Alligator mississippiensis: one gene and its partner. Each later gene encodes a partner of the first gene's protein in a complex. Links are inferred from orthologs where the notes say so. Each region holds a gene or a part of one and is shown on either strand. Other genes may lie near its edges.

Region 1 (16,197 bases):
CCCTGTGAGTCCACAGCAAGCCCTGCAGCACATGCGCCCCCACAGCCCCGAGGGAAGGAGCCGTGGGGCAGGTGAGCGGAGAACAGAGGGCAGAAGAAGGACCCCCAGCAGCCCAGGCCCAGAGCTGGAGCTTGGAGCCGTGGACGGGGCCAGCCCCGCCCAGCCACTCACCTTGGATCAGGGCCCCGGTTGCACTGTGGTTGTGCTCCACCTGCCAGCCGAGACGGCCACCGGGCTCCGCGGGGGGCACGTTGCGCCACTCGAGCACGTAGCCGTTGGTGGGGGCTGCGGGCGCCTCCCACTGCACCCACAGGCTGTGCTGGTCGCGGGGGGTGGCCCAGAGCCCACGCAGGGGCTGTCCTGCCAACGGCACCGCGGGGCACGGTCAGGCTGGGTGTCACGGCTGCAGCCTGGGGTGTGGGGTGCAGGGCTCGGGGGGGGGGAGGAGGGGCCCGGACCTGTGTGCCCTGCACTCAGAAAAGGCAAAGGGAGCAGGCTGGGAGCCCCCACAGGGAAGCCCAGGTGCTCCCTGGGCGGGGGCATTGCTCTGGTTCCTGGGCCAGGTGCCCAGGGCTGGACATCCTTGGCCTGGCTGAAGCCCAGGGGAAGGTGCCCAGCCATAACTTCGGCTGGCACGAGCCAGTGTCGCTGTGCCGGACCACTCCCATCAGCACCAGCGTGGACCTGGCCCTGCAGCTGAATCGTTGAAAAGGCACCTCCGGGCCAAAGCGCGGGCAGGGGCTCCTCCCCGATCCAGTCTGCTGCGCTACAGCCCGGGGGGCTTCCTGGGCCCTGCCCAGCTGTGGGGGCCTCCGGGAAGACAGAGACCTGCCTGGCCAGGCTGGGGGCCACCGGCCTTCTGGGCTGGGCAGTGGGGGTGGGGGGCTCTGCCCCCGTGGGCAGGCGGGAGCTGCCAGGCCGTGGCGGTGCCTACCTCTCCTCTCCAGGAAGATGACCTCGGTGGGGGGCCCCTTGCCGGCGGCATTGTAGGCTGCCAGGTAGACGCTGCGCACGCCAGGCGGCACAGAGAAGTTGCACCCCATCTCTGTTGTGTTGCAGACAGTGGTCGGCACCCCGCCCCTCTGCTGCGGGCTCAGCGCCACCCAGTACCCCAGGATCCTGCCGTTTGCCTCCTGCCATGCCAGGGCCTGGGGGCAGACAGGGGCTGCATTCAGAGGTGTGGGGTGAGGGCTCCTTGGACCACAGCCCCATGGCCACGGCCACCCTGACCTTACCTTCCACAGCAGCTGCACCTTGGCTCGCTGCCGGGAGCCTGACGGTGTCACCTGCCACCAGGCGTCCAGTTTCCCTGCAGGGGCTGGGGGAAGAGGAGAGGAGGGGGGCTTTTGGCTTGGGTCTCCTGCCCTGCCCCAGCACCCCTGCCTCACTCCCACCCTCAGCCTGGCTCTGGCCCTGGCCTCTCTGCCCACCTAGGGCCATGGCAGCACTCACCTTTCTCGTGGGTGGTGAAGCCCTGCTCCGTGCTCCACTCACTCCAGTAGCTGGGGAACGCCCTGCGCCGGCAGCGCATCTGCAGGCGGTACGGCATCCCGAAGAGCAGGCCGCAGTGCTGCACCTTCTGGTTGGAGCTGATGATGCCGGAGACCTGGCACCATCACAGCCAAGGCACTGTCACCTCCCTGCAGGGCCACGGGTGCCCTTCCCTTGCACGCCAACCCCCCTGGCCCTATTCTGGGCAGTCTCTGGTGCTGGGGGGCTTCGCACCCTTGGGAGAGAGGGGAGGTCAGGGCCACGGACGCAGCGGACCAAGCCCTGGAAGTCCAGCAGACATGGAGATCTCGCCCTGTGCCAGCGAGCTGTCCCCAGTGTCCTGTCCACAAAGGGACCTGGGATGCAGTGACTGGGGGTGGCACTGGGCTGCAGAGCCCGTGCACAGACTAGTGCGGCAGGCCCCCAGTGAGGGCACTGGCTGTGACACCCTGGTCTCCCTGCGCTGCCCTGCCCTGCCCTGCCCTGCCCTAACAGCCCATCCGAGCCATACGTGGGCTCCCTGCTTCCTCGATGGGGACCCTGGAGTGCAGAGAGCAGCTCTACAGCCCCAGCGGACACAGAGCAGGAATCTCGACCCTGAGACCAGCCCCCAGAGGCAGGAGGGCCGTGGATCCTCCTTCCCCCCTGCCCCGCAACACAGCCGGCCCCGCTAGCCCGCACGGAGCCCTCACCAGTGTCCAGGCAAGCTCTTTGTCCCTCCGGTAGCGCAGCTCGCACTGCTGCTCGATGTAGGCGCTGCTGCGGGCCACGTCCCAGGCCACGGCCACGCAGTTGGGCTGGAAGGGCTGCACGCTCATCAGGGTGGGGGCGTCCAGCTTGGCTGAGGGCAGGACGGCAGAAGCTGGCACCACTGCTGTCCCTCATGCCGAAGGACAGCCTCTCCCCCACCACTGTGGCTGGGCCCACCCACGTGAGCGCACATGGCACAGGAGCTTCCTGGGCCCCAGGGTGCCAGCACTGCTGGTGGCCAGGCTGTTGGGACCAGTGCCTGCTCTGTGAACATGGGCACGGCCCAAGGCCAAGGACCAGTGGCTGGGGCAGGGATACCTGCTCTGCACCTTGCCCTGCAGACGGCTGCACGCGTGCACTGTGGGCCAGTGGACAGAGGGTCCCTTGGCACAGGGGCCTGGGGCTGGGTCCTGGGCCAAGTGCTGGATTTTAGGGGTCTGGCTTCCGAAGGGCTTGCGCTGACCCTTGTCCCCTGCCCCGCGCTGTGCTCACCCACATCGGTGGGGTCGAGGCACAGGTGCTCCGACTCGGCCGTGCCCAGGGGGTTGCGCACCCACACCCAGAACTCCATGTCCTGGTAGAGCTGCAGGTGCTGGTGCGGCAGGGTGCAGTGGTTCTCCCCTGGCAGCAATGGGCGGCACTCCTGGATGGCCTTTGTGACCACTCTGCAGGTCCTGCCGGGCAACAGACAGGTCAGCGCATGCCAGCGAGGCCGTGGCTCCTCAGATGCTCTGGGTGCCCCCACTAGCAACACGTGGCTCCTGCGCTTCCCTTTTCCCAGCGCCCATGCACCCAGGAGCCTGGCATGGCTGGGGCAGCACTCTCTGAGCGGCGCACACTGGCAGAGCAATCAAGGGGGGCTCTGCAGGGAGTCCAGCAGGGCTGGCTTGGCCACGGGCACCATGCAGATGCTGGCATCGGGGGCTGCACCCGGCAAGGTCTCGTGTGCATGTGGGAGCTCCAGCCCCCTCTGGGATGTGCCTGTCCCCTAGGAGCTCCCACGCTGCCTGCGGCACTGCAGGCGCCAGGGCTGGACTGGGCAACTAACGGGAACCCCTGGGCTGGCAGGGCCGACACCAAAATTCAGCAAACACCCAAATCCTTCCTTCCTGTTGCCCTGCCCCAGCCCTGGCCTGCTCTGCTGCCTCCCTGCCCCTGGGCCCAGTGGCCTGGCCAGGACACCCGTGCCCCTGGCCCACGTCCGCAGTCACTCACTTGCGGCTCTTCAGGATGGTCTCGGTCGGCAGGAGGCTCTCCGCTCCGGGATCCCAGCGACATGTCAGGGACATCTCACGGAGGTTCATCATGCACGTCAGGTTGTGGGGCTTCGAGGGTAGGTCTGCGGGAAGAGCGGGAGGACGGCGCTGTGGGCAGCGTGGGCACCTGTGGGTCTGGGCACCAGCGCTCTGCTAGGGCAGCTGGGCCCATCCCGGCTCTGCCCCCTCCAGCCTGCTGTGCCACCCACTGCCTCTGCCCTTGCTCCAGGTTGGGGCAGTGGCCGCCTTTGCAGAGTGCACCCTGCCCCATCCAGGGGCCCAAGGCGCCGCAGGACCCTGCGCTGTGACTCAGCTGGGCTGTGACGGGAGCTGGGTCTGGCTTCCCCTTTCCAGTGCCCGGGCAGCGAGAGGTCAGGGTCCTGCCCCACAGCAGACAGGCCTCCCTGGGCACCATCCTATCCTGAGCACATCTGCCCAAACCCGCCGCGGGGGGGTGCTGACAGTCCCTGCTCACCCGCCACTGGGGGCTCTGCTAAACCCTATGTGCAAGGTGCCCTGGGGCACAGACGGGGAAGGGCAGGGGGTGTTGGGGGCCAGTGTGATGGCAGGCACAGGTAGACTCACGGCCCGCTTGGATGTCGGCTGTGGCGATGAGCTGGGGCGTCTCTGTCTTCGTCCCTGTCCCCATCCCCGCCAAGTAGCACCGCAGCTTAGCCCTGGTCCAGCTGACGCGGGCGATGGTGAGGTTGGACTCGACTGTCCCATTTGCACTCCAGTACTGGGTCCCGGGCAGGGTCTTGTTGTCCAGCTTCCACATCAGCCGGATGCCCCCCTCCTCCAAGCCTCCGCCAAGGGTCTGGGCTGTGCTTGTCCCCAAGGAGCTCGCATGCCACCCATGGCACAGGGCCTGCTGGACACGGCAGGAGGCCGTGACAGGGGATCCCAGGAGCACCGTGTGGGGCTCCACCCGCACCTCGCCACAGCCCCGTGCTCCTGCGAGGAGAGAATGAGCCTCTGAGTCTGGTCCCTGCTCGGGGGCAGCTCCTGGCCGGCCCTCTGCACTGCAGGCCAGGGCCCAGCATAGCCCGAAGCAGCCACCCGGCTCCAGGCTTCAGTCTTTCCAGTACGCACGGTGCCCCCAACCTGTCCTAGTCCATCTGCTCTCCAGAGAGGGGCCCTGGGCTGGTAAGCCCCCTGCAGTCCTGCATCTCGCTGGGACTTGGGACACAACTGCCACCAGCCTGAGATGCAAGGCTCCTTTGTCTGCATCAGCCACAAACCCACTGAGCTTTCCAGGAGCAGCCAGGGTAGAAGCCCAGGGTGGCTCTGGCTTCGCTCCAAATGGGGCTGTCTGCAGGGGAAGGGGCAAAAGGAGGCTCTGCCATCCGGGTCTTTGTTAGTGCAAGTGCAGGGGTTGCTGCAATAGCTGCAGCCCAGACTAGGGCCCTGCATGGGCATGGGGGGAGGACATGCCGTGGTCTCTGCTTCCCTGCAGGGCTGCATCTGTTCAGTGCAGACAGGGCGTCTGCCACAGGTCTGGGACATGCCGCCCCAATGCAGGAACCGCCAGCTTCTGCCCGGGCACATCACAGCGCACTGCTCCGGTGGGAGGCGCCCCACACGGGCTGGGCTGGGCTGGGCTGCCATCAGGGCCTCTTGCCTGGGAGTGCAGGGAGGGAAAGTCAGGGCTTGGGGGATTCCCCATCCCGGGACCCTGGCATTGCTGTCAGACTCACCACCCAGGAGCAGCAGGACGAGCAGGGAGGATGGCAGCATCATTCCCCTGTCGCTGCGCTCGGCCACGATCTTGTCTGGGGCTTTGGCATCACCTGGGACACACACATGCAAGTGTCACTCTGCAGGCCAGAGCTGGGGTGTGTGTATGTATGTGTGCAAGCTTGTGTGTGCAGATAAACCCTTGCGATACAGTCCCACATGATACACGCTGGGCGCTTAATAAGTATCAGACAAAATATACTGGCTTCCTCAGTCATCAGATCCACCATGGTTGTCCGTGGCTCTCTATAGTGCATGCACACACACGTACACATACACACACACTTCTGCAGGTCCATCAGACCCTCTGTGGCAGCAGGAAGTTCTGTCTGGTACGAGGAGGCACTGGTCTGCAGACTCCCCGTGGGCTCGGGGCACTTGGCTAAAGCCGTGGAAACCTCTCTGCTCTGCTGGGGCGGGGGGGTGGGAAGGGGCTGCCGCCAGCTCTTGCTGCCCCATGCTCCATGCAGGTGCAGCATGCCGGACATTGCATGAACCCCCTGCTGTTCACAGAAAGAGGGACGGGAATGCCACGTCCTCTCGGTGCTGGGGATGTGTTCGCCCACCGCACAGTTCTCCTCCGAGGGAGCCACTGACCCCTGCAGCTGGGGGAGCAAGGACCAGAGCTGCTGGCAATGTTCCTGGGGGGATCACAGGTCCCAGCTGTTCACACCAGGCTGATGCTGCCCTGGTGCCCAGAGAGGGACCACTCCTGCATGGTGCTGGTACCCAGCCAGCGCTAATCTCCAGCTTTGACTCTCTTCTGCGTTTCCCTGCCATCCTGCTCCCGTGGCCCCTGCCCTGCCCTGCCCCATGGCTCCAGCGCTGACTCCCCTGCTGATGGCTGCTGGGATCTCAGCCCTGTCCTGCGCAGGAGGCGATGCTCCACCCAAGCACCTTGCCCATGTCCAGAGGGCTCGGTGCCAGGCCGGCCGGTGCCAACAGCAGCGGGGGCAGCCTCTGGGGCAGCCAGAGTCCAGGCAGCCCTGGCCCATCCCTTACCTCATCTCAGCGCCCGGTGCATGCAGCCCCTAGTGTGCTGCTCGCCCTCAGGACTGGCCCGGGCCCCCGGGAGATCAGTGTCCCGTCCAGGCTCCAGCATGTTGCTTTTGCCGTTAGTTCCTCAAACCCAGTGTCGTTAATTGCTCCGAAGCTCCGAAGAAAAGGTGATTGCAAAACACTTCCCTGAAGGCTGCGTGTGCCCCACGCGCTGGCAGGAAGGAAGGCGCAAAGGCAGCCCACACATCCAGCCCTGGGGAGCAGGCTCCGGTCTCCTCATCCTCCCTGGCCACCCGCCTTTTAAGCAGCTCAGCTTGGCCCAGTGGGGATGGAGCAATAATGAGCTTGTTTGCTGTGACCTTGCTGGAGCCTGTGGGGCTGATCCAGCGCTGGCAGGAGGTGGAGGGGCTGGGGCATGCTCTGAGAGCCCGGGCAGGGCCGGGACCGCTGGGAGGGGCTGAGCACACTGAGGTTTTCTGGGTGCTCTGCTCCCTCTACAAGGCACCCAAGTAGCCCATCGCTGTGGCAGTCTCAGAGGTTTCCTCTTCCACGCAGCTCAAGTCCCCCAGAGCCTGTCGCCTTTTGCCACGTGCGTTCCCCTGAGCTGCGAGGCCAAAGCACTAGCAGCAGCGAGGACCTTTGTGGTGTTCAGGGGCCGGAGCAGGCAGGACGGTCAGGCTCAGTGCCTGTTAGCTGCAGTTGGACGTGGCCCTTGTAGCCCTGCACCAGAAGTTGGTTAAGCTGCTGCTCCAGCGCCCGGTGCTTGTGTGGGGTGCACCAAGGGAAGGTGCATGGGAATGGGGAGGCCCTGCCAGCTCAATCCTACCCTATGTGGGGGCATCAGGCTCCCCCCAGTACCATGCACCCCACTTGCTCCGTGCCAAAGGCCATGCACATGTAGGGGGCACAGTGGCAGGGTCTCCATCAATAGAAGGTGCCTTGGAGTGCCCAGCTGCCAAGATTTTGGCCTGGAGAGGACAGAGCTGCTCTGTGGACTCCATTGCCAGCTGGTTTCTAGGCCCACACAGTGCTGTACCCCACCAGGGTGGACAGACACCCTCCACACCTGCTCTGGGGCTTTGCCAGGGGTCAGCTCCAGGTCCACGCCCATGAGCGTGCCTGCTCCCCCTGCTCAGAGCCCCACAGGACTGAAGCGTCACAGTCCCGTGCGGCTGCAAGACCGAGGCACCAGCGGCTGCGCAGTTGCTGCTGCCCCAAGGCAAACGCGTTCAGAGCTGTTTCTGGGGCTTTGCTGCTTGTGGTGGCCCTGCTTCCCTGCAATCCCAGGGCGTGGGGGCTGCCCCCATCTCTCGCTTACAGCCACGGAGACACCGGCAGAAGCAGAGCTGGGCCAGAGCCTCAGCACTTTGCATAAGGCTGTGCAAATGCCAGCGCCAGCGTGCAGACTGCTCTCAGGCCCTGGTCTGAGCTTGTCCCTGGCCGGGTCGGGGCAGGCTGTGGCTGTGGTTCTGGTTCCCACTGGCTGCTCGTGGCACCAAGCTGGAGCGTGGCTGCCGCAGGCGCTGGGTTGTTTTGCTGTTGCTGGAGCAGCCGCCCAGGCATGCCTCAGCTTCCAGCCTCAGCCCTGATGTGGCAGGAGGCGTCTCCACGGGGCCAGGCCCCGACACCCTCACCCTGCCACGGCTCCCTAGCAGCCCAGGGAGACTTCCAGCCAGGAGGCAAGTTCAGGGAGGTGGGGAGTGCTCTCTGGATCCTGGGCTGACCCTGCCTGACGGGAGGTCAGTGGCCTGCCTGGGCCTGCCACTCTGCGCCCAGCCCCCCGGCCGCCCTGCCTGCAGGCCCGAGTCGTGGGATGCACCAGGATGGGCCTTGGAGCCGTTGTGTCAACAGCAGCTTGCCCAACCCAGAGCCCAGTGGCCTGCGCAATGGCAGCATCTATTGTGCAAACTTCTGTTTACGGCATGTTTACTCGCGTGTTTACTCGCTCCGCTGCACAGCACGTGACTCACAGTTTAGCTGACCCTCTGGCCCGCTGACAGCCCCAGGCCTGCCCCTGCCCCGGGGCCTGCAGGCTGCCCCATGCCATGTCCTGCAAAGCCCTAGCCCTCATCTCATGGTGGAGCCGCCTGCCTCGCTGAGCCCGCTCTGTTTGCCCGGTGTGCGCAGCTCAGTGCCTGCAGCCCCAGCACGGGAACGGGCCCAGCCGGGGTGCGGGCACATAGTTAATGGGAGCAGGGTAAGCAGACATGCACTGGCCATCGCAGATTCAACAGAGTGACTTTACATCCCCTGGGGTCTCCCAGGGTCCCAGCCCTGGCGCAGGCACCTGGCAGGACCTGGCTGGGAAGCATCTGAACCTCTGGCGCAGCCCCGGGGCCAAGGCTGGTGGAGCTCTGCTGCACTGCCATCAGGAAGGATCCCACTGGGTTTCCCCATGGGGCCCGTAGCTACCAGTCGGCCCATGGTATCTGACCCACATCCTGGCGGCAGTGACCACAATGAGCCCTGGCAGCTGTCTGCATGCGGCACCTTCCACCCTCTCGCCTCTCCCATCGCAGGCTGAGCTTGGCCTTGCTCAGCCCCGAGTTCTTCCCTAGGAGAAGCAGCAGTCTCAGGCCCTGGCGAGGGCTGGCCCCCTTCCCGTGGCCCCGGTGGGCGAGCTCCCATGGGCCTGGTGTGACTGGGGGAGCACGCTGCCATCTCATCAGAGCAGCAGAGGTGCAGGGGCAGGAGCCCGAGGGAACAGCTCAGTGGCCACAGGCTGATGTGCAACTGCATCTGCTGCAATGCCACACGCTGCTCTGACCCAGGCCAATGTTAGCACTGGCAGTGGTTATGCCCAGGCTGGGGCAAGGGCAAGGGCAGGGGCAGCAGCCTGGTCTCCCTGGCTACTACCTGCAGTGAGTTGCAGGTCACTCCTGGAGCCCAGGGCTGGTGCAGTAGCTGTGCCTTTATCACCTGTGGGCACTGGGAATGGGGCGGGTGGTAGAGAGAGCCCCTTCCAGGCTGTGCTCTGGCACGCGCAGCTGAGGGCATGCAGGATCTGGGCAGAAGGATGTGCCCTGTGCAGGGGGCTGGTGCAGGGAACTGGCACCACTTTGGTCCCTGGCGCACCCATGGGTCCAGTCCCTGGAGGGATGAGTGGGTGGCCGAGGGCGTGCCAAGAGGAAGGCAGGCACAACGGCCGCTGGGCGAGGAAGGCAGCGCTCTGGGGACAGTGGCAGCCAAGTGACACTGCTTTCTCACCCATCTCCAGCTGGGAGCACAGCTTATTGCCCTGGCCTGAGGATCCCTGGGCCCGAGCCAGCCAGGTCAGGGCCTGGAGCCTCCACTGCTGATCTCGAAAGGAGGGAGTCCAGTGACCCTGCCCCACATCCATGACCTCGGTCCTGGTCTCTGCTCTGCTTCCCTCCAGGTGCCACAGTGCTGCAGGGCCGCAGGTAACAGCAGCTCCCCACCCAGGGGTATCCATTCCCAGGACATTATCGCTCGGCCTGGGTGCTAGACTGGCCAGGCAGCGGAGGGCTGGGCTGCCGGGCACTGCAGCAGCCCTGCTCCTGCCTGCCTCTCGCTGCCTCCTATTTTGGAGCACGCTCCCAGGTCGGAGGGCCCCGGGCTGCAGGGGGAGGCTGTGGCGAGCAGCTGGCACATGGGGGTGGTTTGGGGGCAGGGGGTGCTGCAGCACGGGCACAAGGAGGTCCTAGCTGTGGGGCTGGCCTTGGCCATGGGGCTCTGTGCAAACAGAACAGGGTTGCGCCCCACGCTCTGCTGTTTGCATGCAGGCGGGAGCACCCGGCCAGTCTCTGCGGGGCAGGCGGGCACGCTGCACGTCTCGCTAGGACCCTGCCTGCGCGAGCCCTGGCAGCGCATGGGCACCGTCGGGCATCGTCTCCCTCCCCCTCCCAGGCTGCGCACGGGGCAACTGCCACGTGCAGCCTGGCGCAGAGGCTGGGCCAAGGGGGGCGGGGGGGCGGGTGTGGCGACATCCCCCCGGGTGTGGCAACCCAGAGCCCGTTGCCAAGGAAGTCTGCCCGCTTGCAGCATGTTTACAGCAGGGAGCTGGAGTTCCTGTAACGTGCGTCTCCGTGGGAACCTGCCTGGCGGAAACGTTCAAGGAACAAGCACAGCCGGGCTGTAAACAAGCGGTGCTGCCTGCCCTCCTGCCCCGTCACCCGGCAGCAGCCGGGCGCCCCGGGAAACGCTCGCTGCCCGGTCCCCAGAGCATCGCTGCATCCCCGGGGCTGGCGTGTCCTGGGAGGTGCCCGACCCCACCTGGCTGGGGCGATTGGGGCGTGGGGTGCCGGGGTAGGGCAGATGCTCGTAGCACCTGTGCTTTGCAGGTGTGGGGAGCAGAGCATCTCATGGCTTGCCCTGACAGCCTCCCAGGCCCAGCGAGAGCCGCAGCCCTGGCCCGGCAGCCCCTGCTTCTGCCCCGGTCCCAGCTGGCACTGCCGGCAAGTCCCTGGCAGCTCCTCTCTGCCTCTCCCTCCCGATCCCTCTGGCTTGTAGCTCCCCCATGGCCGCAGCCTGGGCCGTGCAGCCTAGGCCGAGGCAGGCCTGCCCCGCTGGCCCGCACCCAGCCCACGCACAGGAGCGGGGTGCCAGCAGACGGGCTCTCCCGGCTCCCGGTGGCCTGTCCACAGCCCTGGGCTAGCCGACCTCTGCCCTGGGCTCCGGGGCAGAGGCTGCCTTCAGCCGTGTCTGTGCGGGGCTGCAGCGATGCCACGAGCGAGTCATCGCCAGCGTCCGCCCCAGGCTGCGCGGTCACACATGCCCTGCTGCCCAGGGGTTTGCCAGGGCTGCTGCTCTGCTCCTGCTGACCTGCCGCAGGGCCTGGCCGGGCCAGGCTCGGGGCAGCTGGTCATCCCTGCCATCTTGCTTTCCCTGCAGCTCCGTCTGAGCCACTCGCTGGCTCCCCGCACGCCTGCTGGGCATGGCACGTGCTGGGACCAAGGCTGGCCCCATGCAGGGCACCTGGCTCGCAGGGGGAAGGGGGCAGGGGGAGAAGCAGGGCATGGGGGAGGCCCTGGGATGGAGGCACTGTGGGCCTGGGAGAAGCCACTGAGTGCTCCAGGGATGGAGGGGGCCGGGACAGGGCTGAGCCCCGTGCTCAGGGGCCGGGGTGAGAGGGGCCGGCAGTGCCTGGGGCTGCCAGCCCTGCAGAGGGGCAGCGAGAGCAGGTAGGACCCGACCCCGAGCCTGACCCTGACCCAGCCCTGCCCTGGCCGCCAGGCCATGACGCAGCGCGAGCGGGAACAGTGAAAGGGGAAGTGGTGCGGGAGCCCGTGGGCTTTTCCAGAGTTACGAGGCTGGGAACGGGCCCGTGGCGGCCAGCCCTGTGCCCTGCTGCCTGGGGGAGCGTGGCCCGGGGCTGTGGGAGGGCGCACGTAGCAGGCTGTGGCTGCAGTTGCGGGGAAGCCTGCTTGCCCCTTCCCAGAAACGCAGCCCGGTCAGGTCTGCTTACAGAGCCTGCTTCCCCGGCTGCTCCCCCAGGCTTGTCGGCTGCTGAGCCCTCACCTCCGGCCCTGTGGTGGCACGAGTGTCCCCCAGCAATTTAACAAAGGAAAGAAAGGTGGAAGCAGCTCCTGGCTCTCCCGGGCCACGAGCACCCCAGTGCCCAGCACAGCTCAAGGAGGGCTCCTAGGAGCGCCGAGCCAGCCCTGCAGTGCTTCCCAGGGGCCGGCAGGACGGAGGGGCAGCCCCTGGGGTGGGATCTTGCACTGGCATGCTAGGGCTGGCTGCGGGAGTCGCAGCGGTGCCCACCCGGCCTCTTCCATTCCCAGACCCTCTAATCAGGGCCTTTGGGGACGTCTCCACCTGACTCTGGCAGCCTTTGAATGCATCTGGGGAATAGCATAATGGCCCCCTGACATGACCAGTTCACCCCGCACGGGGTCCCAGGCCCTCACCCAGGAAAAGGGGAAGACAGCGTGTGAGAGAGGGAGCTCTGCTGCTGCAGAGCACAGGGCTGTGCCGGCAGCCCCGCGCCCGAGCGGCGCGAGACAGTGCAGGCCATAAAGCAAGCCCAGCTAAGGGCCTGCAGGCAGGACAGGTGGGAAAGGGACTGTGCAGCGACGCTCTTGCTGGAGGGGACTCTCCGGAGCGGGGGTGATCACAGCAGCTCCTGCCCAGCGTGGACAGCTCCCGGGGAAGATGAGCCAGAGTGGCTGTCCCGGGCCCGCGTGGGAAGCGACAGTTACAGAGGGGCTGGGAGCCCTTGGCACCCGCAGGCTCCAGCTGCAGTGGGGGTCCAGCCTCTCTGGGCATGGGAGACCTCCGTCTCTCTTTGCCTCGGTTTCCCCACTTAAAAACAGTGCTTGTGGAGCTGCCTTTCTCCAGGTCTCAGCTTGACTTGTCTGTCTGCACTGCCAGTGCTGCGGGGCAGGGCCCGCTCCCACTCTGTGTCCTTGCTGTGCTCGACTCAGAGGTCCAAACGCAGCAACTAACCACCCCCTCCGTCAGCCCACGTTAAGCTGAGGCCAAAGCTTGGACTGGCCCAGCCTTTATTGTCATGTTGCTTCTTGAAGCCTCAATCACTGCAGCTCCTGTTGTGATACATGCACAACAAAACCCTCTGATTTGCATGGAGATAATTGTGTTCCTTGCATAAGGGAAGATCTTTGTCTGTTCCAATCACGGCGCTGTTTGCAGTTCTTGAGGCAGGAAATGGGTTTGTTTCTTAACACCCAGCGTTATTTGCAAAATATTAGAATTGCAGCCAGTCCCCGTAGAGATGAGAATCACAGAGCGAGGCCAGGAGGCGCTGGCAGCAGAGGTGCTGATCTGCTCCTGTCTGCGGCCGACAGCTGCTAATTCCAGTGTCCGGCATTAGCTGTTTGATAACGTAAGCGCTGCCTCGACTCGGGGCGCAGCCACTCCTTCCCCCCCCGGGCTCTGCAGTGGGAACAGCCCACATGCAAAGGCACAGCAGAAGGAGAGAGCTGATACTGTCTTGAAGGACTTTAGAGGCATAGCTTGAGTGTGAGCCCTACACGTGTGTGCACCCCCTCCTCGTACACGCGTGGACATGCATGTGTGTGCAGATAGCTCTGTGAGAACCCACACCCAAGGTGCACGGCCCAGGCCCTTCAGCCCAGACTGGGCAAAGCATCCCGGGGGGAACCGTGCTTGAGATCCAGGGAGGAGGCCGCCGGACTAGGGCTTCCCTGACCCTGAGGGCTGGGCTGTTTCGTGGGCTGGAGCAGCCGGTCTTCGCCCGCACGGGGCAGTCCCGGGCACTGGTGTGCACCGCTGGCACTGGGCCCTGCTGATGGGCTGATTGGGAGGCTGCGGGCCTGAACCCTCCTGGCTGTGCGCACGTCCCTGCTAGGACACGGCGCCTGTGGCAGGATGGGCCCCGTGGCTGGGGAGCAGAGGGCCTGTGGTCGGGCCTGCCCGGCTCCTGCTGCTGCTGCCCGCTAGATGGCACTGTGTCTCCACCGGTGCCACCAGCCACCCCCCCCCCCCCCAGCTCCCCCCACCCCGTGTCCTGGGTTTGCCCCACGGGCCACGGGGAGGTGGCAGCAGGGCCCGGGCCTGGACGTGAAGGCTGTGATGGAGGCAGAGAGGAGCACCCATGCCAGAGCCTCGACAGGGTGCCCGATGCTGTCTGGCACCAGGCGGGTGCTCCGGGCACAGGGTGGCGTGTCTGCTCTGGGGCGCAGTCATGCCGGCTGGGCCTGCCGCGCCCGGGGGACGCAGGGAGGCTGGGAGCAAGGGCACTGGCTGGGCGGGCAGGAGTCTCTGCGGGCTAAGGACCAGCACCCATACCCGCCCCTCTGCCAGGGAGGTGTTCATCACCTCTGCTGCAGCAAGGATCCCCTTGCCTGGGGCCTTGCCAAGGCTGCATATGTAAATTGAGAGCAAATGGCTTTCTCTGGCCCTGGCATGCTGCTAAAATTAGCAAGGAAAGAGCATTTGTGTTCCTGGTTGCTGAGACCCAGGGCATCCCTCACGGGGGTGACCCCTGCCTGGGTTGGACTCTACTATTCTCTCATCTGGAGCTGTGGCCTGGACAGCCCTAACGAGGCTCGTCAGGAGAAGCACCCTGCCCAGCTGCATTGCCTGGGCAGGTCTGGGGAGCCCGGGCTGTAGATGCGTGGGGGCCGCGGGGAGCAGGGCACCCTTTGCTGGCAGCGACTGTGATGAGTCGCCCAGCACGGTCATGCCCCTTGGCCTCCTCCCTCCATTAGCTGCGATGCCCGCCAGCCCCCGACGCACCTGCCGGCCGCCCCAGTAGCAAAGGCCATGGTGTCCCCCGGAGGGCTGCAGCCCGGCGGAGAGGGGGGGCGGTCTGTGAACTTCATACTTTCCCTAGCTGTGAATTTAAGCATGGCTTGAAAATTGGTGAAAAAGTCTCGAGTTTGTTGTTTTACTAACTTTCATCTGCACATTGGAGCTGCAGCATTGTGGGGAACGGCCTCAAGCCACCACTTGGAAATGGCAGCATCTGTCACGCAGCATCTTAACTGGCATTTTGAGAGTCCGAAAATCTGAGCTGGTTCCTAGTGGCGCAGGAAGCCAGAACCTGCTCCTGCCTAAAACCCGTTGCCCCTTGTTTTCTGGGGCATAATTGAATCTTGTTCTCAGCCGTGATGGTGGCAGTCTGTAATTCAAAGCCTGCTCCGAAATGGCTCGTTGCAGAAGTCGTGTTTCTCTGTTTTTTCCTCCCTGATGATTGCACAATTTAAGAGAGTAAACACCACAGGGAGAATGGCAAATCTCCCAATCAAAGCAGCAGCATGGGACACGGTTTGGAGGTGGCACCAAAAGCTTCACAAGAAATTGTGTTGCTGACGTAGGGGAGGTCAGAAGCCACCCAAGCCCCTGGGCAGCATGGGCACAACAGGCCTGTTTGTAGCCAGCCGCCCACGAGGGAGCTGCTGTCACATCTGGCCGCCCAGCGCGAATGACCAGGAGCTGGTGACAGCTGGGCTGGCTGTGGCAGTGACAGAGCAGCACGGAGCAGGGATGCTTGAGAGCCAGAGGGTCCGTGGCTTTGCATCGCTGCTCATATTGGCTGTTACTGGTCCGTTCTGCCTGGTGCCCGGGACCCCCCATCTGGGACCTGGTGCCCCGGGCTGGGCCCCGTCTGGACCCAGAACCGGATGGCAACCCTGCCCACAGAGCTTGTAAAGGGCCTGAGGTGGCTAGGGACAGGAGCAGACAGGACCAAGCCCACAGGCCCTGCCCCAGGCACCTCCCTGGGCCGAGTACCAAGGCGCAGGGCAATCGATGCAGCCCCCTGCACAGAGGTCCTAGGCCAGCGGGTCCTGAGGTGCAGTCCTGTTCAGACCCATGCTCTCCTCCCTCCCTAGTGCTACCCTCGCACGCAGCCCCGCTGAAGGCAGACCAGGTGATGTTCATGAAGGGCTCTTAGCAGGCCCGTCTCATCAGCAGCAATCAGCTGGTGCATCTCCACAAAGTGCAATCCAAGCCTGCGCTCTGTTGAGGTGGAGGGGAAGGGAACAATAGACGTGGCGTGTTCCCGTTATCAGGATAAAGTAAAGTGCCACCAGCAATTTCTCCTCCCAGCTCGCAGCCAGGTAATGAAAGCTGGCAAGCTGCTGAGCTGGCCGCCACGGTGATGCTATCTCCGATGAGCGATGGCGGCGGGCGCGCAGCGGAAGGAGGGGATCAGTCACAGCCGGGCGGCAGAGGGGAGGGCAGGGCAGCGCCGGGCTGAGGACGGGGCATTCGGCAGGGAGGGCAGCGGGTCCCCACCAGGTCCGTCGCCGTGCGGTGTCACAGAGCTCTGTGTCAGCATCCTTATCCCAGCGGGCTGCGCGCACAGGCCACAGGCTCTGCTCTCCCGGGTGATGCTACAGCCGTGGGCCTGGGAGAAGTGGCCCTGGAATTGCAGCACAGGCTCCGGAGGGAACCGGCCGCCTGGCTGGGAGCGCCCAGGCTGAAAGCACCTGCGGGCCGGCGGGAGACTAGAGACCCCGGAGACCGGAGACCCAGTTGCTCTGGACATGTGGCAGAATACAGCGGACTTGGTGCT
Region 2 (15,975 bases), on another chromosome or scaffold:
ATAGGGAACGTCCTGTCTGATAGAAACCATCATAGGGTGGCTCCAATCCAGAATCTGCCTTTCTTTTATAAATACCTGCATGTATGTATTGGGGGGGTGGGAGGGGACATGCCCGGGTTCTGCAGCACCCTCTGGCTACTTCAGAGGGAACTGCTCCCTTACCACCATCACCCACAAGTATTGCAATGAAGGGGGTCCCTCCTTATTCCCAGTAAAAACAAACTTATTTTAAGGTTGCTTATGGTTGGTGTCATTACTGCACTTGCTGCAGAAGGCACACAAGGGGTTAATGAATTCAACATGGCAAACTTGGTCACCAAACCTCTTGGCTGCCTCTGGATGCGTGTCCATGGGACCTGCCACCAGGTGGGTGGTGGTTCTAACAGCACAGGGCCCATGGCAGAGCCACAGCTCAGAATAACAATGGGATAAGACTTTGTTAAGCTTCAATTATGACTTTTAAAATAAAAGTTGGGAAAAAAAAATTCCCAGCAGCCTATGTGCATTTTGTGTTTCGTGGAGTGGTGGGGGGCTACTACTGTTTCACAGTGTGGGACTGAGGTAGTTCTAGGGCACTGGCATCCTAGGGCAGGATCAATATGATTTTAGACGAGGACAAACCTTCCTGAGAGCTGCTCTTGTGGTCCTTGCTCTCCTTTGTCATTGCTGTAATGGCTGAGGCAGCCCCATGCAGGGCTTCATGGGTAGAATTAGAGGAACCTTTTTTCCCGCAGACAAAAGAATATTCAAATCAACACCTTTGTCTGTTTCTTAAATACATTGGGTTAGACCAATGTATCCTTGTCTTTATTCACGAATTTGAAGGCTAGAGAGGCCTACACCAATCTTCTACCCTGACCTGCATAACACAGGCCAGGGAACCATGCCTGGAGTCCTGTGTCAGAGGATAGTGAAGGACCCTGATCCTTCCTGCAGGCTTTCTCTGCCACCAAGGGCACTGATGCTGCTTTCTTCATGGGTATATGAAATGCTAGCTGTATCTACAGGCCATTAGGCATGGGACCCAAATCTCTATGTGCAATAGACCCAAAACTGTCTCTGCACTGCTGAACAACTGGAGGGCTACAATGTGTGCCCTGAGAAGCTGCTCAGTAGCTGACTAGGTACCTTGAGGCTTCCTGTTAACTATAGACAGATCTGCTTGCATAGCCTGCCTCTGCTCACTTTATTTAGCATATCTGAGCTGAGTAGTGTGGGTCAACCCCACTCAGCTAGAAGGTCCTGCCTTACCTTGTTCAGCTCCATAAGTGCAAGGGGTATGTCCAGATCCAGGCTAGAGGAAGTACTATCCCAATACAACCAAGGGTTGTTTCCCAGCACTCCAGTGTCATTTCTGCATGCAACAGCAGATGGCACCATAAAGCTGGACCCAGGGAACCAGCATCATAATTTTAAATACCAGTACGCAGTGAGAGAAGAAATGAGTGTATTGTAGTCTGCCCTGGACCAGGACAAACACATATTTAATATCTAATCAGCAACTCAAAAGCCACAACACCCTTCAGCAAAGGCTGCCTACACTGTTTCTGTCCCATTGCAGATGATCACACTACCTTGCCATCTGTTGACAGCAATGGCGCAGGAAGGTAAGTAGGATCCATAAGTTTAGAAGAGACCCAGAAAGGCAGGGCACAGTGGTACCTTCAAGACTAACTGGGTCAGATGGGCATGTGCTTTCATAGGCAACAATCTACTCTGTCAGACGCAGGAGTTAGTTCCTTACTGCTGTTATGGTAGTGTCTACAATTGCAAAGTGGAATGGGACCCCAAGGCTCTTCCAGCTAAACCTTCACAGCTGCAGGAGTTACTCCTCCCAACCCATCCCAGAGAAAGGCAGATTTGGCCTCCTTTTGGAAGCCTCTGGTGAAGAGTCCGTGTTTTCCCTAGGCTGTTTGTTCCATTGTCCTGCTTCTCTTCATATTAGCAAGGCTTCTCTGAGATTTCTGCTGAGGTTTAAAGCCACAACTTCATGCCCTGCCCTCTGGAGCAAGGGAGGTCAATATGTCTCTGGTAGCCTTTCAAAGAACTGAAAACAGCTTCCATGTCCACTTATAGTTACCTTTTCTCTCAACTAAACAGACCTTCATCTAGGAGCCAAGCATGAACAAGGCAGTGCTGACCCAAAATGTAAGGAGTCCCTGCCTCTAAGCTACATAATCTACTACAATGATTCTCAGCCAGGGTGCTGCAGGTCTGCAAACTGTTAGGTGTGCAAACAAGTTGGCCTATATCCGACCTGCAGACCAATACCCCATGGTTGTCATCCACGTGGGAACAAATGACGCGGCCAGGGGCAACCCTGACTGCATTATGAAGGACTTGGAGGCTCTGGGGGCCAAGCTTAAGGAGATTGGGGCACAGGTGGTATTCTCCTCTTCTTCCGGTGAGTAGGTGGGGACGGCGACACGAGGCCTGCATTGGCAAGGTCAACCAGCACTTACAGAGGTGTCACCAGGCGGGCCTTGGGTTCCTAGATAATGACCCATGCTTTCGGGCAAGGGACTTGCTGGGGTGGGATGGGCTTCACCTCTCACCTAAAGGCAAGGCAATGCCTACACAGTCAGATGGATTGCAAATTGGCTGAAGGGTTGTACTCAGAGGGTGGTGGTAGATGGGTCATACTCGACCTGGGGGGAAGTGGGCAGCAGAGTCCCCCAGGCTCGGTCCTTGGGCCCGCACTGTTCAATTTCTTTATCAGCGATTTGGATGACGGGGTGAAAAGCAACCTGTTCAAATTTGCTGATACCAAAATTTGGGGTGAGGTGGGCACATTAGTAAGGAGGGAAAGACTGCAGAAAGACCTGGATAGGTTGCAGGGGTGGGCTAACAAAAACAGGATGCGTTTCAATACTGACAAGTGCAGGGTGCTGCACTTGGGCAGTAGTAACCAGCAGCACACTTATAAGATGGGAAACTCCCTTCTTGAGAGTGCAGAGGCAGAAAGGGATCTTGGAGTCATCACTGACTCCAAGATGAACATGGGCCGACAATGCGAGGTCACAGTCGGCAGGGCCAACCAGACCCTATCGTGCATCCACAAGTGCATCTCAAGTAGGGCCAAGAAGGTGATCCTCCCCCCTCTACGTGACACTGGTCAGGCCGCAGCTGGAGTACTGTGTCCAGTTCTGGGCACCCCACTTCAAGAGGGATGTGGACAACATTGAGAGGGTCCAGAGGAGGGCCACCTGCGTGATCCGGGGACAGCAGGGCAGACCCTACAATGAGAGGCTACAGGACCTGAACCTGTTCAGCCTTCACAAGAGAAGGCTGAGGGGGGACCTGGTGACCATCTATAAACTCACTAGGGGGGACCAGAAGGGTTTGGGGGAGACCTTGTTTCCCCTAGCGCCCCCCGGGATAACAAGGAATAACGGCCTCAAGTTGTTGGAGAGTAGGTTTAGATTAGACATCTGTAAGAACTACTTCACAGCTAGGGCAACTAGGATCTGGAACCAACTTCCAAGGGAAGTGGTGCTGGCTCCTACCCTGGGGGTCTTTAAGAGGCTCGATGCCTACCTGGCTGGAGTCATTTGAGCCCAGTTTTCCTCCTGCCCAGGCAGGGGGTCAGACTTGAAGATCTACAAGGTCCCTTCTGACCCTACTTCTATGATTCTATGAAGTCACAAGATAAAACCCAGAGATTTCCAGTAGGAACCCATAGTGTTAAATCCATTCTGCCCTGCTGTGGGCTTTCTGAGTTGCTTGCAACAGAAGAATTGTTCTATTACTTTTCTGTAGTCAAAAAACAAGTGAAAACTAAGAGCTGGTATTTTTGGGGTGGGAGGGGGTCTCCTGAGGTTGAGAACTACTAATCTAATAGAAGAGGGAGGGAGGCTAAGGGTAGGGAAAATGAGTGAAAGGAGCAACTGGGAACAGCTGCATGTGCTGTTCTCCCAGCACTTGATCCTAAAAATTGCACCTGCCAGCAGATCCAGGTACCAGTGATGCTGAGGACAGGTGACATCTGGGATCAGCATGAGGCCTCTGTAGGACTGTGACAACTGGAATGGCAACCTTGCATAGGCTCTGCTGTATGCAAGTCAGGGCCCTGTTCGCCTGATACAGACCACAGCCAAAGTCCCCTGCTCCTGCCTGCCTTTGTGCTGAGCTGCTGTCCATGGGAGTAATCAGCTCACCTACTTGCTGCATGGGTCACTCTTTGCTTTAATGTCCTTAGTGGGCCCAGCTCCTTGAGAGGCAGGAGCCTGGTCCCATCTCGGTCTCCTGTGGTGTGCGCTTACCAAATGGTGCCGCTAGAGGGAGCCACCTCACTAGTGAATGCCCCTCTGCATCATCATCTTCTGGCAAACTCCACTACACTGAGGCCAAGTTCTCGGTGCCAAGGCAAAATCCTCCTGTTGAGTGAAGGGACCAGGACATGGACGTACAGGGTGGAACAGTTCCAAGAAGACAGACCAAAAGTGAGATCCACTCCAGAAAATCCAACAGCCTGGTAAGCAGCCTGCACCCCTGCCACGTGGAAGACTGACTTGAATCTGAGTCTCCCACCTCGCAGGCGAGAGCCCTGATCCCCAGGGGCTGGTTAGCTTATGCATATGCATGCATGTACACACACACACACGTACATGGTTTTACTGTAAAGCAGAACAGGAAATCATTTCAATTCTTAAACCGTTCCAGAGGCTGGGAAAGCTATTTCCAACCTAACTCAGCTCCCCTCCACCTGCTCGTCCAGCCCTGAGCTCCCTTCACAGACACCTCAGCAGATGCCCCTTGGTGGCAGCCCATAGCTCCCCTGGCCCCACACACACACACACACACACACCTTTCCAAGGCTGCAACTCTTCACCAGATAAGGTTGGTGGCAAGTCATTCTCTGCCAAGCTGCCCCGAGCTGTACTGTGTTCTCAGGTGTGTTGGAGGCAGGCAGCAAACCGGAAAACCTGGGTGGTGAAATACCAGGGCAAGGTTAGGAAACAGTTATGCTGCTTCACTGAAATGGAACTTCCTATTTCAAACACACCAAAAAAGCCCCGCTTGCTCCTCGGGCTATGAAGAGATTGAAGAACAAAAGACAGGGAAGAATTACTCACCAGGTTGAAGTGTTGTGTACACAAAGACAATGGCAAGAACGTGAGGTCAGAATCTGTGTCCTCTGCCTGTCCTGGAATGGGGTGTGAGCCCCACACCTTCCCAGGCAGCCGTTCCAGGAAAGCCGCCACTTTGCTGGAGTTGTTACAGGAATCCAAGCAGCTGACTTAGCCTCTTCTGTGCACATGGAGACTCCAGTATGAAGCAGCACTGACAAACAATGACTCTATCATTCATAAAGCCCACTGCATTCAGACCAGAGCTGGAGTCCTGGGGATCGGGAGGGCGGTCAGTAAACCCACTAGATAATGTTTTGGGGAGCCTAAGGGAGATAGGTGTCAAACTCCCAGTGTGCTGCAAGCTCCTAACTCCAGCCCTGATCTGTGAAGGCTGGTCTGTGCATCCACTCTAGGTCTGAACTTCATATGAGAGTCTCTCACTACTGTGGTGAGCACAGAGGGGTCCCCCAGGGTAGCCAGTCTTGGGCTCTTGTCTCCTACTGCCCACCCACACACAACCCTGCAGAAACATGCACCAAGACTGTCATCCTCATTTTTATAGGGGAATTTGAGGCACGAGGAAAGGAAAGGTCATTCTTAGGGTCACAGGGCAGGTAAGTGGCAGAGCTGGGACTAGCACCCAAGTCTCCCAGTAATGGGAGGTCGGGGGGGCAACCAGGGGCACCAGCCCATGTGCTGCCCAGAGTGTAGAACTGCCTAATAATGCCTCTGCATTCTTCTGACACCCTATCTGGTCCCATACACTGGAAACAGGACCTGGGTTAGCCTAAGGGCCCCAAAATATCTCCAGATACTCCAGTATCCTCATAGAATCATAGACTCAGAGAAAATTGGAGTTGGAAGGGATGTCAGGTGGACATCTAGTCCAAGCCCCTGCTCAAAGCAGGACCATCCCCAACCAGATCATCCCAGCCAAGACTGTTTAGCCAGGTCTTAAAAACGTCTAAGGATGGAGATTTGACAACCTCTCTGGGTAACCTGTTCTTTACTTCCTAGTGAGAAAGTTTGGGGTTTTTAAAAATATCTAACCTAAACTTCCCTTGCTGCAACTTGAGACTGTTGCTCCTTGTTCTGTCATCTGCCACCACTGAGAACAGTCTCACTCCATCCTCTTTGGCACCACCCTTTCAGTAGCTGAAGGCTGCTACGAAACCCCCACCCCACCCTTCTCTAGAATAAATGAGCCCAATTCCCTCAGCTTCTCATAAGTCATGTGCCCCAGCCCCCTAACATTTTCACTGCCCTCTACTGGACTCTCTCCATTTTGTCCACATCCTTTCTGTCATTGGGGGCCCAAAACTGGACACACTACTCCAGATGTAGCCTCACCAGTGCCAAATAGAGGGGAATAATCACTTCCTTCAATATGATGGCAAGGCTCCTACTAATGCAGCCCAGTATACCATTAGCCTTCTTTACAAAAAAGGCACAGTATCGACTCATATGCAGCTTATTGTCTACTGTAACTCCCAGGTCCTATTCTGCAGAGCTGCTGTTTAGCCAGCTGGTCCCCAAACTGTACTGGTGCATGGGATTGCTTTGTCCTAAGTGCAGGACTTTGCACTTGACCTTACTGAACTGCATAGGAAGCTGCTCCTTTCTGTGCAAAGGCTGGAGGATCCGGAAAAAGTCTTCCCAGTAAAGTTTCAGTGAGCTGCAAATAGGGAAAAAACAAGCAGCAAGAATCAGGTGCCTGATTAGGTGCAATATGGGCCACAGCCACCAGGAGGACAAGGTCTCCCCCTCTACCCTATTGTATTTTGCACTGGTAGAACAAGTCTTCCCTGGCAGGGAAGTGTCCTGGGCAGTTGGGCTGGTGGTTAAATGCACGGAGCGGACCAAGAGGTGCCTGACATGCCCCAAGCAAAGTCTAACCAAAGAAAAATGCTCTGGCTGAGGGCAGAGGCAAAAGCAATACAGGCAGGGGAGTGATGGAGAAGCTAGAGGGATTCACAGGCTGGGGTTTTGCAGCAGCACAGGCCTTGCGACACCTCAGGGCTCAGAGACTTCTGAAGCTCCTCCACAACCCCACTGCCCCCAACCCACAGAGACAAGGCCAAGAAACAGAGAGAAGGCACAGGGCATGGAATTGCTCCAAACTCACCTCTACCACCCAGACCTACAGACAGGATGGCTGCCAAGCATTGCTCTGGGCTGCACAGCAGGTCCCCAGAGCAGGCCGAGGTTGATCTCTCAGGCAGGGACTGGGGGTCTACAATACATACTGTAGGCATGTAAGCAACTAGCCCAACATCCCCCCCAACCAAGGAATTTCATTTTAGTGGATCATTTTAAAGCAAATTAGCTCTCCCAGCAGGCGAATACTATACCCCAGGGGCATCTTCAGGGCTGAAGGTTTGTTACCATTGTACATGGAGACATCCAGACACTCCAGTGATGGGTGCTGCTGCATCCTGGGCTACCTGAGCAACAAATCATCTTCATCCCCCATTGTGGCCCTGCTGTTATCCTCACTGTACAGATGGCACTGACAGGCCAAGCGATTTGCCCAGGGTCACACAGGAAGCTGGGGGCAAAGAAAAGAAGGGGATACTGGGCTTCCAGTCTAGTGCCCTAAGCACCACATCCTGCTTCCTCTCCCTCCCAGAGAGGCTTGGACAGACCCAGCCAAGTGCTGAGACAACTGGATGCAGATGCATTGCCAAAGCGTGATCTCCACTACATGCAGTGCCTGGTATGCCATGCAGTTCCACTTGCAATTGGGCAGTGCCTGGAGCTAATTGAAAGAGCTGAGCCTTGTCCCAATGGGGAAATCTGAGAGAGAAGCCAGGATTTCTTAAACCAGGCTCATCTCCACCCAGAGGGCTCAGTCCTGTCCTCCATTACACCAAGGGAAATCAGGAGAAGCAAGGAAGAGGATTCAAGATGACCTTGGCCTGCAGGTTCCCATGCAACCTCAGCCCAGGACACAAATGTCTACTGTCTTCTGGGTTAAGATCACAAGATTTCTGCTCAGCTGCAGGACCCCACATGCAAGGGGGAGTCACAGAAAGACTAGCTCTCTCCCAGAAGGCATAGGCCCCAGGACAAAAGTAAACCTCAGCTGGAGCCATGAGGAACCTCCCCTATCCATGAGACCTCTAGACACAGAATGATCCATCTGGGAGACAGATGCCCCATCACCAGGGACAACTCAGCTGAGACTCAGACTCCAAAAATGTACTGCCAGGATCAGAACATGAAGTAAAACCAAGGTCCTGCCTCCTCTTACCCTGATGGGAGTGCCCTGTGTGCCCATGTTGGGTGGTACCAAAGGGCATCTATACATGAGCATGGAGGCTGCTCCAACACACTGGAATTCCAGCGCGGCACAGCAGACTTGATTAATTAAGGCCACTGGAGTATAGCAATTGCCAAGCTCCAGCTGCCTTCTAGGTCTCCTGTATCAGCGTCCCCATTGAATGAGCTTTAGGTCAAGTGCCCACACTGCCATTTTGAAGTGCTGGGACACTGATATAGGAAACACAGCGGTACTTTAATTAGAGTAGTTTTTGGAGCTGTTCTGATTAAAGCACCCCCACCCCTGGAGCACAACTAATAGTGCCCAAAAGGTCCATGGCTCTGGTTTGCTGGCAGCATGGTTCCAGCAAGGGTGCCAGCATGATTAGACGCAGGACAAGATTGGGCCCACACAAGAATGAGTGGGTCAGCAGGGACAGATTCGGGGGTATTGTTTCCAACACTCACACTTGGGGGCAAAGGACCCTGGCTCAAAGGTCTCTCTTATCCCATTGCCTTGTTAGCCATCCCTACCATCTGTTCCCTCATCACAGATGCAGGAAGTCTTCCTTCCAGAGAAGCTAAAACCCTGCTGTGACACCAAGAGAAGGACTGTGCTTACCCAGCACACAGGTCACACTTGACCTAAACTCCGCTTCTCCTTTGCCTTGGGATCATGCCTGTCCTGTGTCCCCTGCACCATCCATGCCCTTCCTGGGTACGTGGGCAGTTCCTTCCCCAGAAAGCACATGTGGGTTTACTCGCTCTGTTTGCATCACTGATTCATTTTTTTCTTCTTAAAATCCCCAAATAGTGAAAGCGGTCAGTGCTGCGACCTGACTCTGCGTCACCACTGGCCTTCCCCTAACCAGCCCACATGATCTTTCATTTTAGTGTCAAGGAAACTTGCGCAGCTGCTTCAGGGCGCACCTTCAAAAGCTTCGAAGTCCAATGGCCAGAGGAAGGATTTCACAACATCCTTCTTTTCCTTTTCAAAGCTCTGTTAGGTCTCATGGCTCAAAGCCGCACTGTGGAGAGAGGGAGTCCAGCCACCTGGGGCCTGAGGGAAGCTTAGAGATTCACAGGAGGTGAAATCCCCCATGCCAAAGCTCTGCAAATCATCACCCTCTTGAGCCTGACGCAGTGTGGTGCTGCCCCGCTGGTCCTCAGCAGAGAGATGAACACTCCTGAGCTGGTCTGGAGATCTGATGCTAATCAGATCACTGCAGAAAAACAAAGCAAGTTGTCCCTAACGAACACCTGCATTCTGTTGAACATCACTGGTGCCACCACTTCCCAAGAATGGACATCAAAAAGAGGGAGTAGAGCAGAGAATGGGGGTCCTGGCTTCCAACACAGCTTCCCCCCAGCCCACTAGGCTATAATTTGGCAGACAGAATCTCCAACAGAATTAGCACAAGAGGGTCTCAGACCTTCCTTTCCTGTGTCCTTGTGACAAAATTTGCATGTTCATTTCATTGAAATCTGACAGGCAGCACCATGAGCACTGCTGCTATGGCCTTGAACTTGCATCCTCTAGGCTGCCTTAGCACCTGCATCACCCCAGCCATGCTAGTCTGAAGATCATAAGAAAGTAGGGCTGGAAGGGGCCTCATGAGATCATCTAGTCTACCCCCTAATCCAGTCATCTAGTCCAGGCTGCTGGCAGTGGTAGCAGTGGCCAGGCCAGCAGCATGGAGGCTATTTTTATGCTCCCTTCCCCCAGAATTGTGCTGCTGTCTCAGACCTTGCCTCCCTTTCCACACTCATTTGTCCCTACCAGGGCTAGAAAGAAAGGGCCAGGTCAACAGCTGGTGTAAATCAGCCTGCACCCAATGCTCTGGGCCGCTATATATTTTATACGTAAGTGTGGAGCACAAGCATGGGAACTGGAGGGTGCTTTCCTTGGCATACTGAGGTTCAGGGAACCCATATTCTTAGCCCATATAGCCCGGAAAGGTCAAGTGAGTTGATCAAGACTGCATAGGGGAGTCAGTGCTGGAGCGGGATTAAAAGTTACGGGGCTTCTGGCTCCCTAGTGTATTCCCTGTCCTGCCGCACAGCAAGGGGTGCATGCCAGAACAGCAGCAATATAATCCCAGTTTCAATCCTCATGCTACGATGCTGTCAGATGAGTTTTACTTCCTATGCATTGATGTAGGTTACTTACTCAGCATCCCATTTCCTTGTTCCTCGGAAGATTGTGCCCTGAACTTGTGGTTAAAGAAACTGTGCCAAGACATTTTAAGTGAACCCAACTGACTCAGCTGTCACTGCCAGTTGGCTGTGCTTGCACCCCTGCTCTGTAAATCCCAGAGGCTAAAGATTTGGTCCCTTCCCCCTCTGGGAGTCACTCAGCTGGTACAGGAAAAGCAGCCAGTCCTGGAAATGCAGGTAGAGATTTCCCCATTAGCATGCCAAAATCATTACCCTGAGGCTGTAGGAAAAACTGACATCAGATCCACATCCATCAGTTTGGGAAATAATTGCACTGCTGTCTGTTGGTGCAAGGGCAATCTCTTGGAGGTCAAGTCTGGATCATGCCCATCAGGTTCTTGCGTGATATGAGTAACATCGCTGAAGAGCACTTCAGTATCTGTCTTTCCCCATGGGAGACCGATCCCCATCTAAGCAGCAGCAGAACAAGAGGGTGATTGGGGTTCAAGGCCCTGGCATGCAACGTCAGACACTGTGGTTCAGTTCCCTGTGGCACCCATATGACAGCACTCCAAGCTGAGAGTAGGGCTGCAGTGTGCCAGGTGTAGCAGGTCCACACAGGGTGAAATTGAGTGTGAGATCAGTAGCAAGACTCACGTTGATGTCTAAGGGGCCAGAGAGTCACTTGCACCAACAGACAGCCTCTGCCCCAGAAATCACTGTCTATGCAAACAAGGGTGGGAGGTGAAACAGGGCTGCCACACACTTAGCCTGTGATTCCAGGCAATTATTCCAGTATTTGGAAGACCAAAATGAGATGTTTTAAAGGGACCTGATTTTCCAGAAGCCAGGTGCATAGTACTGTGGGAAAATCACAGCCCCCATAATAAGGGACTTCAAATAGGCCATGTGAAATAATTTATCCCTTAGAGAGTCCCATGCCTCAGTTTCTCTGTCTGTGGATAACAAACCTACTTCATAGGGATGTGCTCATAGTGAGTAAGATCCACAGCCTGCATGCCACAGTGAAGGCCTCCAAATCTGTGGCAGAGAGATATACCAGGAAACAATGGCAGGTAACTAAAGGTAATTGTAGGTGCAGCATATGACGCAGGAAAGAATGTCATTGGTTCTGCTCGAGTTTAAAGCAATAAGGAAAGTGCAACATAAAGGTTATTTCACCTCCTCCTTCATGATCTGCTGATAGCACTAAACTAACAAATCCCTAATTCTTAAGATGCTTGAGAAGAAAGACACTATTCAAGCCCAGTAATAAAAAAGAATCTAAAAAACAGGAATTAAATCAGCAAGTAAGTAAACACACATACTGAAGGCCAGGTGGAACACTTAGAAGGCACCTGCATCCCATTGAGTCCCATTTATTTGGTTGGGTGCCATTTTATTGCTAGGTCAGAACTCTTAAGTTGAAATTGGGAAGTGGATTTTGTAAGCAAACCACACCCTGATCAGTTCTGAGACATCATTTCATCTCCCAAATTAATCTTTGATGGGAATGAAGGAAGTGGCTGATATTTTGGGGAGCAGCTTTTTTAGGGTGGCCTGAAAGGGCAATAACAATCGATTAATTACACAAAAGGAGGGAGCAACTCTCAGACACTACAAGAAAAGAAGAAAAAAGAAAAAAAAGAAAAAAAAAAAACAAAACAGTCCAGGGCTGTCCCAGAGGAATTACAAAATAACAAAATTTTTGCTAAAGAAAAATCTAAATGAAAAACAAATGATCCCCACAAATTAAAATTCCTAATATGTTATTTTCAGAAAAATGTATTTGCATATTCACTGATTAGTAATAATTGCCTCATCTTATTACATCAGCGTGAATTCCCTGAGTCTCCTATAAATATCATAATCAATTGGAGTCTCACAGCATTCACGAACAAAAAGGACTGGTGCAGCCCTGCGTCTGTCTTACACCCTTTCCCAGCGCACCGTCATAAAACAAGTGGGAGGAGATACCAAAAGGCTTTCAGGCACTAGAATGAATCCTCTGAGAAGTAAGTATAAGCTCTTCACCCGACAGCAACAGAAATCATAGGCACCATTTCCTAGTTGCAAACTGCTTGGATTTACTATATGCAAGGGGTCTGGTAAGTTTATTTTTGGGACTAGCAACTCCTGGGTTGACTTCTGGGGGAGGCTTGGATAGTTTTTACGATTTAAAAAACATTTTTTCTCCCCCCTCCTCCCTTCCTTTTCTATTTACAATCAGGAAAATTATGCCAGTAAGGATAAAAAAAGTCTAAGAGATGTACAGTTTATGCAGGCAGGAAGTACCTTCTGAATATACATAGCAAGGGGTGTTTCACTCTCAAAAAACTTTTAGAGTTCTGAGCATCAGAAAATAGAGGGGATTTAAACCAACTGGCTGATGTGATTTTAACTAAAAGAGCTTTGATATGTAACTGCATTTTGTTAAACTAAGATCCTTGAGTAGGAATGTGTTAGAAATATTACATGGGAACACCTCCCCTTGAAGGTTCTTCAGGGTGGGGACTGTCTCTTACTGTGTAGATGTACAGCACCTGGTACATTGGGTCCAATCTCTTTCGGGGCTGCCTGTTGTTACTGTCATACTGACATGATCTCATCTGAATGAACAGTGAGATCACTTTTCTATCTCTGTATTCTGCACCTCTGGATTCTTCAGCACTTACCCAACTCACGTTGCTTCTCTCTCTCCTCTCCTCATCTCCAGCTATTCCATCCTTGCTGTTGAGCACCCTGCTGTGCTTGAAATACATCATGCTGCATGCAGCTCCCCTGTCGGAGTTCTCAGGGGACCAGGGATTCCAGCTGTTTCTGCAGAAGAACTTGGAATTCACTCGCAAGATCAAAATGGATGTTGAGACCGTGCGGCAGCACATGGTGAGTAGTTAGACAACCTGGGAAGAGAAGTGCTAAGAGCAGTCAGGGGCTGCTGGTGTAGAGGTGATAAAATGTAACCAGAGATTGGTCTCCAGAATTGAAGGAAGAGAAGTGGTGGGAGCAGAGAGATGCAGGGACTTGCTGGTATCTAATGAGGAGATAGACATGCACCCACTGCTAGCAACTGGGATTTATGTGACAAGTTTCTGGGGGCTGCTGTGACCTCGACAGGTAGTTGCTTCCCTTAGAGCAGCAGCCTGGAGAGCACTTGGCTATGAGAAGTGCAGAAACTCAAAGTTCACTGTCTTGTCTCCAGCTCCAAAAGTGGAGTTCCCTCCCTCTGACATTCCAGCTCCCAAAAGCTTCACCTCAGCAGACAATCTCAGCCCCAGGCTTAGGGACAGATTGACAGACAGAATCCTACATAGGACGGGCTTTCCCTATAGCTATGTCCCAACTCTTGATAAGTCTAGAGAGAGGGTGTGTTGGGGGAACTGAAATTAGCAGCAGGCACAAACTGTGCTGGGAGATAACTCAGCAGAGAGCTGGCCTGATCATCCCCCAGGGACAAAGTCTGACCAGCTCCCCCTCCCACTAGCTGGCAGAGTCACTAACAAGGGACCTTCTGATCCAGGAATCAACCAACCTTCAGCCACTTTCCAGTGCCTTGCTAAAATAGACAGCAGGTACCTTCTCCTCCCCCAAACCAAGCATTAGAGATAAAAGAGTCCCTTCCCCTCCAGGAGGTGACCCAGGCTAATGCTTATCCCAAACAAGCATCTGCTCAGAGGGCTTGGAGGTCCTCCCAGCTGCTTAGGAGGAAAAGCTGTCTGCTCAGCTACTGCCAACTGCAACCATCCAACTTTCCTTTGTTCTCCTCCCTGCTTCCTACAGCCCCACAGCTGCCTGCTGCACTTAGCATAGCAGGATCTTCAGCAGAGGGAATTATTAATCTCTCTTCCCCATGACTTTTGGCGTGGTCCTCTAACAGCTTTGGCACATCCCCAGCCTCCTACAAGCAGTCCCATCCAGAACTACTCTGGGAATCATGTGGTTTCAAGATCAGACTTCTCAGATCTTATTCAAAACAACAGCTGCCGATTCCAAATTCAACTGGACTTGACCAGTGATATGCACTGGCAAGGCCTCTGTCCCACTGAATCTGAAGGGGTGTGTTTCCTGTAGATTATAGCATGTGCCTCACAGCAGTTCAAACTCTGGGGCAGGTATTCTTAGCTGAGTTGTTAGTGAATTTAATTGCTTTGGTCCAGTTTCCAAGGTCTTGCAGGACACTACTGGCTAATCTATGCTGCTGTGTTCCTCTCTCCTTTCCTGGCATTCTCAGGGCTGTGCCAAAGGAAAGGCCAACACCGAAGTCAGAACAGAGACTGCTCGGAAAATGCTGTAGGGAAAGCTCTGGAGGGAGCGAAGGGTTTTGTTTGAGACTGCAGGCTATTTAGATTGCAAGTCTCCCATGTACACACAGCTATGAACTTTTTGTTTATGGAGGGGGTTGCCACTGGAATGAGGCAGCAAGTGAGTGACAACTGCACATAGCTCAGAAAGGGTCAACCAGGAAGCAGCTTGAAAACCCTGAAGAATGTCAGGCTTTCCCTGGGTAAGAGATCCCCAACCCCCACTTCTGCAAACACTACTCACTACATGGCCCACTGACTTCAATAAATCAAATTACTCACCTGAGTGTCTGCAGGATTGGGGCTGTAATCAAGAACCCACATAGGCCAGCTATACAGTATAAAGTGAGTCAGCTTGGCTGCAATTCCACCCAGGGAATATTACAATGCTAGATAAAAGGCATTAAATTCTATTATTCATTGCATGAAGCTGTTGCCAATCTTCCATTTATGCAACAGGAGTTGCAATGCATCTGTGTGACATGGTTATATCACTTGAGGGCCAGAGCAATAGTACTGAAGTCTCTGATGAAATGTGATGAGCCGTTATGATTATGACCTGTCCAAATGTCTGCCTTTGGGCTCTAAGAGGTCTTTCCCTATTACCTGGCTAAACATACACAGGTTTAGTGCATCTTTAGATTTCTGTCTTGGGCAGTTATCTGGCCCTTGTTATTATAGTTTTTAAAGCTGTTTCCAGCCTTTCGTGTATTAAAGCAATAGTGCTGTTATCCTGAGGCAAAATGACCTGACCTAGAACTCTATAGAGCCAACAAAGAGGGACAACCAGTGTCTCCAGAGCCAAAGCAAGTCCCCTAACCATTGGGTGTCCCTTCTTCTGTGTGTGGCTCCTTTGCCTAGCTTTAGAAAGGAGGTGGGGGGCATGGCAAAAACTGTGAAGAACCATGCAGATTCCCAATGAGCTGCACTCCAACCATGGGGCTTTGCCCTCCCACCTGATCATATCTTTTCTTTTTGTCCCACCACAGTGCGATAACTTTCAACTCTGCAAGGAGGAGGAGCTCATGCTTGTCAAGCAGAACCTCAACATCTTCCAGCCATCACTGAATCAGTGTCTGAGCAAGCCCTTCCAAGTGGTGAGTGACTAGAGCAATGAATCTCAACTGGGGTGCCTGGAGATCCTTTCAGGGGTGCCATACAATGTCAGCACTGTTAGTAATGCA

What was found.
Region 2: the proteins of CSF3R (region 1) and CSF3 are in contact, whole or in part, in a crystal structure (PDB 2D9Q), measured with the Homo sapiens proteins. The link is inferred for Alligator mississippiensis from reciprocal best matches to the Homo sapiens genes CSF3R and CSF3. Residues at the interface, in NP_000751.1 of Homo sapiens: Arg164, Arg190, Lys191, Leu193, Leu194, Leu195, Tyr196, Gln197, Asp220, Met222, His261, Ile262, Asn263, Arg311, Pro313, Leu314; in NP_000750.1 of Homo sapiens: Ser42, Leu45, Lys46, Glu49, Gln50, Arg52, Lys53, Leu141, Asp142, Asp145, Thr148, Thr149, Gln152.

What each region holds. Positions count from the first base shown.
Region 1 is NC_081829.1:274,082-290,278, forward strand, and holds the start of CSF3R (granulocyte colony-stimulating factor receptor), read right to left. Parts: upstream 6,564-16,197; 5' UTR 6,237-6,563; intron 5,288-6,236; 5' UTR 5,238-5,287; coding exon 5,195-5,237; intron 4,452-5,194; coding exon 4,083-4,451; intron 3,581-4,082; coding exon 3,457-3,580; intron 2,916-3,456; coding exon 2,734-2,915; intron 2,333-2,733; coding exon 2,184-2,332; intron 1,607-2,183; coding exon 1,453-1,606; intron 1,319-1,452; coding exon 1,236-1,318; intron 1,149-1,235; coding exon 935-1,148; intron 361-934; coding exon 172-360; intron 1-171. UniProt on the Homo sapiens protein: Receptor for granulocyte colony-stimulating factor (CSF3), essential for granulocytic maturation. Plays a crucial role in the proliferation, differentiation and survival of cells along the neutrophilic lineage.
Region 2 is NC_081827.1:164,820,011-164,835,985, reverse strand, and holds the start of CSF3 (granulocyte colony-stimulating factor), read left to right. Parts: upstream 1-7,618; 5' UTR 7,619-13,103; coding exon 13,104-13,376; intron 13,377-15,780; coding exon 15,781-15,888; intron 15,889-15,975. UniProt on the Homo sapiens protein: Granulocyte/macrophage colony-stimulating factors are cytokines that act in hematopoiesis by controlling the production, differentiation, and function of 2 related white cell populations of the blood, the granulocytes and the monocytes-macrophages.